Linked DNA regions of Bombyx mori. The main gene of each other region encodes a partner of the protein of the gene in region 2 in a complex. Links are inferred from orthologs where the notes say so. Each region holds a gene or a part of one and is shown on either strand. Other genes may lie near its edges.

Region 1 (4,075 bases), on a different chromosome or scaffold from region 2:
CCCAACCAAATCTAAAATTGATGCCATAACTAAGGCCCCAGCACCGTGTAATGCAAAAGAACTACGATCATTTTTAGGACTAGTTAATTTTTACGAACGGTTTGTACCACATCTTCACGGGATTTGTTCGGATCTTCACGATCTAACTAGTGAAAAAAATAGATGGCGTTGGACTGATCATGAAAACAGAATATTTGAAGATACAAAGAAATGCATAACTTCTTCACAACCATTAATTGCATTTGACGAGAAACGTCCCCTTTATTTAGCATGTGACGCTTCCGAAAAGGGATTGGGTGCAGTATTATTCCACAAGGACTCGAACATAGAACAACCAATTGCTTTTGCTTCAAGGAAACTACGACCAGCGGAAATGAAATATTCCGTTATTGATCGTGAAGCTTTAGCAATAGTATTTGGTATAAAAAAATTTGATCAGTACTTGAGAGGAACGAAATTTAATCTAGTTACGGACCATAAGCCTCTTATACATATTATGGGTGCACACCGCAACCTTCCTAAACTAGCCAATAACCGATTGGTAAGATGGGCCCTAGTAGTGGGAAGTTATCAATATGACATTTACTACAGGAAAGGTGAAAATAACACATTAGCTGATTGCCTTTCCAGATTACCAAACCCTGAAACTGAACCCTCCGAGACAGAAGGGCTTGTACATAAAATAGATCTACGTCTTTTGAGCACTCGAATGACTGACCTTAATCTATCAGAACAGTTACTTATGAAAACAACTTCAAAGGATCATATACTCACAAAAGTTTGTCAAAATTTAAAAACCGGCTGGAGAGAATCAGATTACAATCCAGAAATGAAACCATTCTACAGAAACCGGACTGAATTATCTGTTGAGAATAAGATACTTATGAGGCAAGGACGCATCGTTATACCTACAGCACTCCGAAAAACCATTCTTACATACCTTCATCGAGGACATCCTGGCATTTCTGCTATGAAAGCACTTTCACGTTACTATGTTTGGTGGCCTAACCTTGACGAAGACATAGAATTATTTGTCAAGAAATGTACCAGATGCCAACAGAACCGCCCTTGTAATCCTGAACTTCCTGTATTTTCCTGGTCCATACCAGAAGAAGTATGGGAGAGAATCCATATCGACTTTGCTGGACCGTTCGAAGGATCGTATTGGTTGGTATTGTGCGACGCTCTCTCCAAATGGGTGGAAATACGACCGATGAAACACATCAACACCAGATCACTTTGTCTTACATTAGATAACATATTTTGTACATTTGGCTTACCAAAAATGATTATATCCGATAATGGACCTCAATTTACATCTTATGAATTTAAAGAATATTGCACAAAACAATCTATTTTACATGTCACATCATCTCCATATCATCCTCGGACAAATGGGCTGGCAGAACGTTTAGTCAGAACATTCAAAAATAGAATGGCATCGGTAGACAACACAAATCTCGAGCGCCGACTATTAGAATTTTTGTTTACATACAGAAACACTCCGCACTCGTCCACTGGTAAATCTCCAGCTGAGATGATGTTTGGACGACAATTGAATTGCATACTTTCCAACATTCGGCCAGACAAAAGAAGATTAATGCAGTATTTACAAGTAAAAGAAAACATTCGTACCACATCACCGAGTTACCGACCAAGTGACCAAGTATATATTAAAACACGCAATGATAAAATATGGGAACCAGCGGTAATTACATCCCGAAAACATAAATATTCATATATTGTTTCAACACCAGGAGGACTAGAAAAACGAAGACACGCTGATCACATCAGGCCACGCGAGTCTTCCACCTCAGAAACCCCGAGGAATAAAAGGGCGCATTCTTCTATGCTGCCGACGACTGCTTCTCCAGACATTGGAATGGAAACATCAATTAGCGAAAGGCTAACTAACAATAAGAATTCGGCAGCAGTACTATTACCTACACCGCAGTCGCCTACAAATGTACAAATTTCTCCAAATTCACCTTCACAGCATTCGAAGTTATACTCCTCACCTGCTCCGGTCTCCACTCCTGTGCCATTTGCTCCGCGTCGAAGTAATCGACCTAAACAGGCACCCCGCCGTCTGATCAACGAGATGTAGATGGGGAGGAATGTTGTAACCTTCTTTTCCATATTCCATTATTTGAAATATACTTCAAACACATTGTCATTTTTGCTACCTATCATTATTATATTTTTATGCTATGTCTTGAAAACATTGTTTTATTATATTAACTTGAACTTATTATTTTATATTAATATTTTTATGACATTAGAGACTAGACTTTATTGTCCAAAGCGGGTGCTAGCATTTAGGTTGTGATGTCTAGTCTACTTTAATCAATTAACAGATGTCTGCCTGTTTAAAACATGATAAAATTCGAATGCTGTTTTATTTAGTTAAATATTACGCTGTAAGCCTTTTATTCCCTTATGTATTATATGTATGAAATTTTAAAAAGTTAAATATAAATTGATAAAAGAGGTTAAATGTTAAGATGAAATAAGTACAGCAGAATTAAACTAAAATTTTACAAAACAAATTTTAGTTTAATTTGTTTGTAATTCTAAATAAAAGTTTATATACAAATGTACAATTGTTTTAAATCTTAATGATTCTGTTGTCAACTCTCACCTTTCGAAGGTGTGCCGGTTGAACGCTGCGGAGTCTCCGGAACGATAACTTGTTGTGAGGATCGCGTTCTTCGTGGAGTCGATGCTTCCGATGATGCACGCGACGACGGGCGTTTAGATGGTGTAGACATTTTTAACTTCACACTCGTTTTTTAACACAACTTACTATAAAAAATAATTAGCAACAAGTTTTAAACAACACCGAAGCAGCATTTGTTTTGGAACTTTAGAAGTCTTGGCGCGAATTGTTGACAGCTGACATTGTCGTTCGTTATAATCGGTTTCGTTCGTCAGACAAGTAAAGGGAATATCGCCCGATACCTTGAAAATTTCTGTGATACGATTGAACCCAAAAATGGAAACTTCGCGAATTTACAGGTGAAATTAGGTTACAACTAAATGAAGCGGACTGCAACAATTTCATTAGAGAAGGAATAAAATAGCCTCTAAGTAAATTAAGAAATAAAAAGGTAGATTTGAATTTCCAATTTACTAAGTATTCAATGGACTTTTTGGAAAAACCCGAAAAGCCACGACCAGTGACTTTATTCTTCATTTTTCTACATTCATGGATTTTTACAAATCTATATCTGAAGATACACAAAGTGAACAAAACACTATAATTTATAGAGCTGGACACTTCACATTCCTCCAAAAGGTCGGCTTGTAGATGACTCACGATAGTTTGCTGTCAGTTTGAAACCGGTGAATGCAACCATTATATATTGCGACTTGTGTAGAGGTTTGGGCATGTACACAAATTAATATTGTTCATCACCTACGTTTTAGTGATACTATCAACTCAACTTATTTTTAGTTCTTTTCTTGGTGGATAGTCAGTAGCAATTTTATTAAGTAAGAAAAATAGGATTAATTGTACCGCGTGAGCGGTCCCAGTTTAAGCAAAGTTCGGATGTGACCGTTCAGACTGTTTAAAACGCTATGCCCTATTTCATAAATGCTGTTGCACCACCCTTCTTTGGAAACGATTAGGCCGTTGACAGCAAATTCTACCCCTCTTGGTTTAAACAGAGCTCACTTTCCTATCGTGTTAAAGCCTACAGGCCATCAGCAATCACGCGATCACGGAAAGATAATTAAGTGGGCAAAGGTGCAATTGATACTAAACGAGATAACAGAAACAATTTTATTTGGTAATACCGAGGACTAAGCCATGCTGCATAAGAAAATATGTTTTAAGAAAAAAAGGTTCATCATTGCCGATTAATAGCGATTTTTACCCTATTGAATGTCAACTTACCACAGACAATGAAGTTTGTTTTTTAAATCAATTGATCGTTCATTCACCTTCACCGCTGATGTTTTTGTGGTGTTATTTTATGTTAAAATAAATAAAAATGATAATTGCTATGTAACAGCAACTCTGACTGTTGTGTAGTAAATTTGATCAAGTGCAATATAATAAAGGAACGTT
Region 2 (4,391 bases):
TTGCTCAATTTTTGTCCTATGATAGCTACTGCTATTTCAGATTTAAAATTCTATGACATTCCCTAGTTTTCTGAGGAAATGCATAAACTTAGTATTTATATAGATAGCATTACTGCAATTACAAACCTACGAAATTAATAAATTTGACTTTACTGGTGTAAGTATATGGTTGGGCTACATACCTACAATAAAATTTAGACTTTAAATTGAAATGTTAAGGTAATTACAAGCATTTTTACATTACAGCTTTATCATTTAACATCTTACTTACACTTTCACTAGTGGTACGGTGTCTTGTGAGCCTGCATGATGTGTACCACCACCCTGCCTATTTCTGCCATGAAGCAGTAATGCGTTTTGGTTTAAGAGTTGGGGCAGCCATTAACTGAGTCATAAAACGGAGACTTAGAACTCTTGCCTCAAGGTTTTAATTAAAAAAAATAATAATTTTAATTATAGCACAACTTTGCACTTTAGATTAGTTTAAAAGTATAAGATTTTAACTCCTATGGTAAATATCATTCACTGTGTTTGATTTTTTTTTATTTCTGAGATTGCTACATAATGTATGTTCAGAAGTGTTGTATGTGTCAGACATACACAATGTTAAATGTTCACCAAAATCTATAAATACTATAAAAAGTGAATACCTCCTGAGATATGAGGTCTAAGTCTCCATTGTCTAGTATGGGGACTGTCCCCATTCTTCAAACTTCATGACTGCTTTATGGCAGAGACTAATTAATTGGTGACACATTCCCATATGGCCTACCACCAATAATTATGGGATATTATTTTTATTTTGGCAAGTTTATTGTTTCCATAGTGTTATTTCTTTTTTGTGGATTAATCAAACAGAATTAGATTCAATTTAAGACATATATAATCAAATCATTCAATATACCATAATATTATTATTTAAGTCATGATAACTTCAATGATATAGGTGATATCCTGTGGTACAATAGTCAAGGTCATTAAACCAACAAGGGTATTGCTCTATCTATCAAAGTATAACAAAAGAAAACCTATAATGTGTTTCAGTTGTGAGAAAATCAATAACAAACCTTCTAAGTCAATTTCTTCATCTTCACCAGTCAAGTCTTCTAATACAACCCCATTAATGGTTTCATTGGCTTTAAGGAATACATGCGTTTGTAAATTAGGATGTTCTGCCATTTTGTTCATTTCAAAGACTTGCATATTACCAGGCATTTTATTTAATACCACATTTTTCATATGATTTTCCATGTTCAAAACATATTCTTGAGCATATTTATATTCTGATGGTGTTAGGTAATTAGTATCAGTTTCTATTCTTTGTCTTTCTTGGTTTAGTATTGGAATGCAATATTTTTCAATCTTATTCAGTCTAGTTTTAAGATAATTACAAATAATAAATTTAATTCTGCTAATCTCCATTTTGTGTATAGAAGTTCTCAAATCAGTTTTTGAAAGTTTATTTATGTTTCTTTCCATGTGTTGTATTTGACCTAACATACATTCTACCATGTCATTTTGATGAGGGAGTATTTCTGGGGACAATCTTTCATTTTGCCAAGCACTTTGTAGTGTTTTTAAAACAGTCTCAGCTGTTACTTCTTCTTCATCATCACTGAACTGCAACTCTTCGGTTGACTCCATATTCTTCTAAATTATATATACCCACAGAATTCTAGTGCAACTTTAGATTGTCACTGAATGATATTATTCTAGCTTTCACGACTCGAATTTGAGTTCTGGTGTTTTTTAGGTTCTAAAGAGCTTTTTTTACCAATTCATTATAAATTTAAAGAGTATATAATCGCATTCATGTTTCACTACATTACAATCATAGTTTTTTTTTCTTTTATCTTTTTCTTTTATTAAAATTTTCTGTATTTTTGTCTTGCTTTCTGTACTAAACAAATTGTTACTTTATGACATACCTCAATTGTCATTAATTTTTTTTTTCTTCTGAATAGCACGGGATTTTATTTCTACTACCTTTATTGAAATAATAAGTTTATGGTAAAATAATGTAATTTTTTTTCTCACAGATTTTTTTGCTTACTATTTGTTTAAAACTTTGTTGGTTTGAACTAGAGATGGCGTTAACGGTTGAATTTATTTATCTGTTAACTGGTAATTGATAAAAAAAATTACCGATATTTTTATTGGTTGAAAATACCGGTAAATCTTTTCGTTGAAAAATTAATTTTGCTAATGTTAAACTTGAATGGTACTAGCACTTTTCGAAATGATCCCATATTTCTGCATTGCGTTTCGGCATTTTAAATTAGATATACAATTTAAAAATCCACAACAACAAAGTAAGCAAAGTCTCAAACACACAAAAACAAAGTCAAAACACACAAACACAAAGTACAAATCTCTTAAAATACAAAAACACAACTTTACCAAAATAATAGAAAAGATGCACTGAGCCACCAAAATGTCAAGTACCAAACAAAATATTACGTTTAAAAAATCAACCAATCACGTCATCTTCGCGTTCGGTAAAAATATCGTTTCATTTCAATTTTTTAACGAAAAAAATTATCATTAACTGTAAAATACACCAACTTAAATATTGTGCTTTATTTTGAGGGGTATAGAGCATACAATGAAATCATAAAATTCAATATTTTTTACATGATAAGTTGAAGACATCTGCAAGGCGAAAATGAATCTTACGTGTTGAAATAAAGTTGAAACTTGCATAAATATAATTTCCAATAATTGCCTATGCCACTACACGCAGTGTGTTTGGTAAACGGTATTTTTAACCGTTTTGGGTAATTTTATTTATCGAATAGAAGTGTTAATTTTTTTTACCGGTAAATTTATTGGTTATTGGTTATATTAGCCACCTCTAGTTTGAACCAATGTTTTATCTATTTCTATCATAAGTAATACTACGAAGAGTGAGTGAGCAGCTATGAGTCTCGATGATATTTAATATCAAGTTCGATTTCTACAAATGATAATGTTCCTGTATGTTAAGTATGTTTCTCCACTGTGTTCTTGAACAAAGTTTAGTAGTGAAGGAATAACATCGAACGCTGTAATAAAATTAGTATAAGCCGCCATACCATCTTGTTTATTTCTTGTGCAAACCAATCATCATCCTGGTTTGAAGGGTTGAATGGTTAATATTTTTAAATATTTTTTTATTGCTTCATGTTGTGGAAGTCTCAGTAGTAATGGGTGCTCGAGCCATCCTAGTAGGCTTACAGCAAGCCTTATCTTACTAGTAAAATTAGGGATGAAGAGCAAGAAAACGAAAAAAGTCGATATTCAGAAGAGAAAAGCCAGTGCTGACACTATGAAAGAGTGCGTCGCCTCCCACTTAAAACTACATATTATTTTCAAAACTCGTCTGAATATAGCTTTCAGAAATACTTTGCTATAGAGTTCATCCTAGAATTATTTCTAGAAATGAGCTGTGGATGGAACAATGAACTCTACTTCGGACATTACTACTGAAAGTTGTTGTACATGTGCTTGGTACAAGCACACTGACCATCCCGTAAATACATTTACATTATTCATTCTAAATTTTACTTAAAATAGAGCCGTGGGCCGCGGGACACACCTAGTTTGTTTTAAACAATTAATTGCAGTTTTTGTATCGAATAATGTACGTACGTACTAGCGAAGACATTTAATCTTGTTAGCCACATAAACCTGCTTCTTTGAAGTCGCATAACTACATTACCTCAGTAATACAGAGCTGTACTTACAAATATCTGTACTTACAAATAGCTGTACTTTGCAAATATCAACCGTACTATAACGGCGGCACTTAAACATAGTTTATTTTATAAATAACTAAATTTATTACTAAATTTCAAAATTCTGCTGACCGTTTCCTTGAAATTAGTCCACATTAAGCACTTTGCATCTTAAAATTTAGTTTTTTCGTTCCAAAATTTACGTATGTGCTCCATTGCTGCTCTTTTTGGAATCACCCAGATCTTTTGACACAAGTAGACTTTAATCAAAAATGGCTTAGAATCGATTCTTAATATGCAGCTAAACGAGCTAACTTGGACCCATGCATCCCTACCCATCCGTTTTGGTGGTTTAGGGACTCGCAAAATTTCTCGTGTCGCTTTACCAGCCTTCCTATCTTTTGTCCATAGTTCAGCAAATCTCATAAGTAAAAAACTTTGAGATTGCTGGCTTGGAAGAAGCTAGAAACGCTTTCTTAATTGGATGCCCACGTCAAAATTTTCCAGTTTCTCTAAATTCACAGAAGAGCTGGGACGACATAAACTGCAAATTGACATATGACAATCTTTTGAGCTGTAGTACAGGTTCGGCGCGTGCTAGGCTTTTGGCTGTGGGTGCGCACGAGGCCGGCTACTGGATTCACGCGTACCCTTCGTCAAATACAGGAACATTTC

Evidence for each region. Proteins that work in one complex are often made in the same cells at the same time.
Region 1: DNA replication complex GINS protein SLD5 (region 2) and DNA replication licensing factor MCM4 share a complex: the UniProt entries of both Homo sapiens proteins name them as parts of the CMG helicase complex. The link is inferred for Bombyx mori from reciprocal best matches to the Homo sapiens genes GINS4 and MCM4.

What each region holds. Positions count from the first base shown.
Region 1 is NC_085125.1:2,551,040-2,555,114, reverse strand, and holds the start of DNA replication licensing factor MCM4, read right to left. Parts: upstream 2,917-4,075; 5' UTR 2,772-2,916; coding exon 2,642-2,771; intron 1-2,641. UniProt on the Homo sapiens protein: Acts as a component of the MCM2-7 complex (MCM complex) which is the replicative helicase essential for 'once per cell cycle' DNA replication initiation and elongation in eukaryotic cells.
Region 2 is NC_085121.1:9,245,262-9,249,652, reverse strand, and holds the start of DNA replication complex GINS protein SLD5, read right to left. Parts: upstream 2,842-4,391; 5' UTR 1,645-2,841; coding exon 1,068-1,644; intron 386-1,067; coding exon of another isoform or gene 363-385; exon of another isoform or gene 1-362. Other genes in the region: opsin-1, read left to right, coding at 2,979-2,985. UniProt on the Homo sapiens protein: Required for correct functioning of the GINS complex, a complex that plays an essential role in the initiation of DNA replication, and progression of DNA replication forks.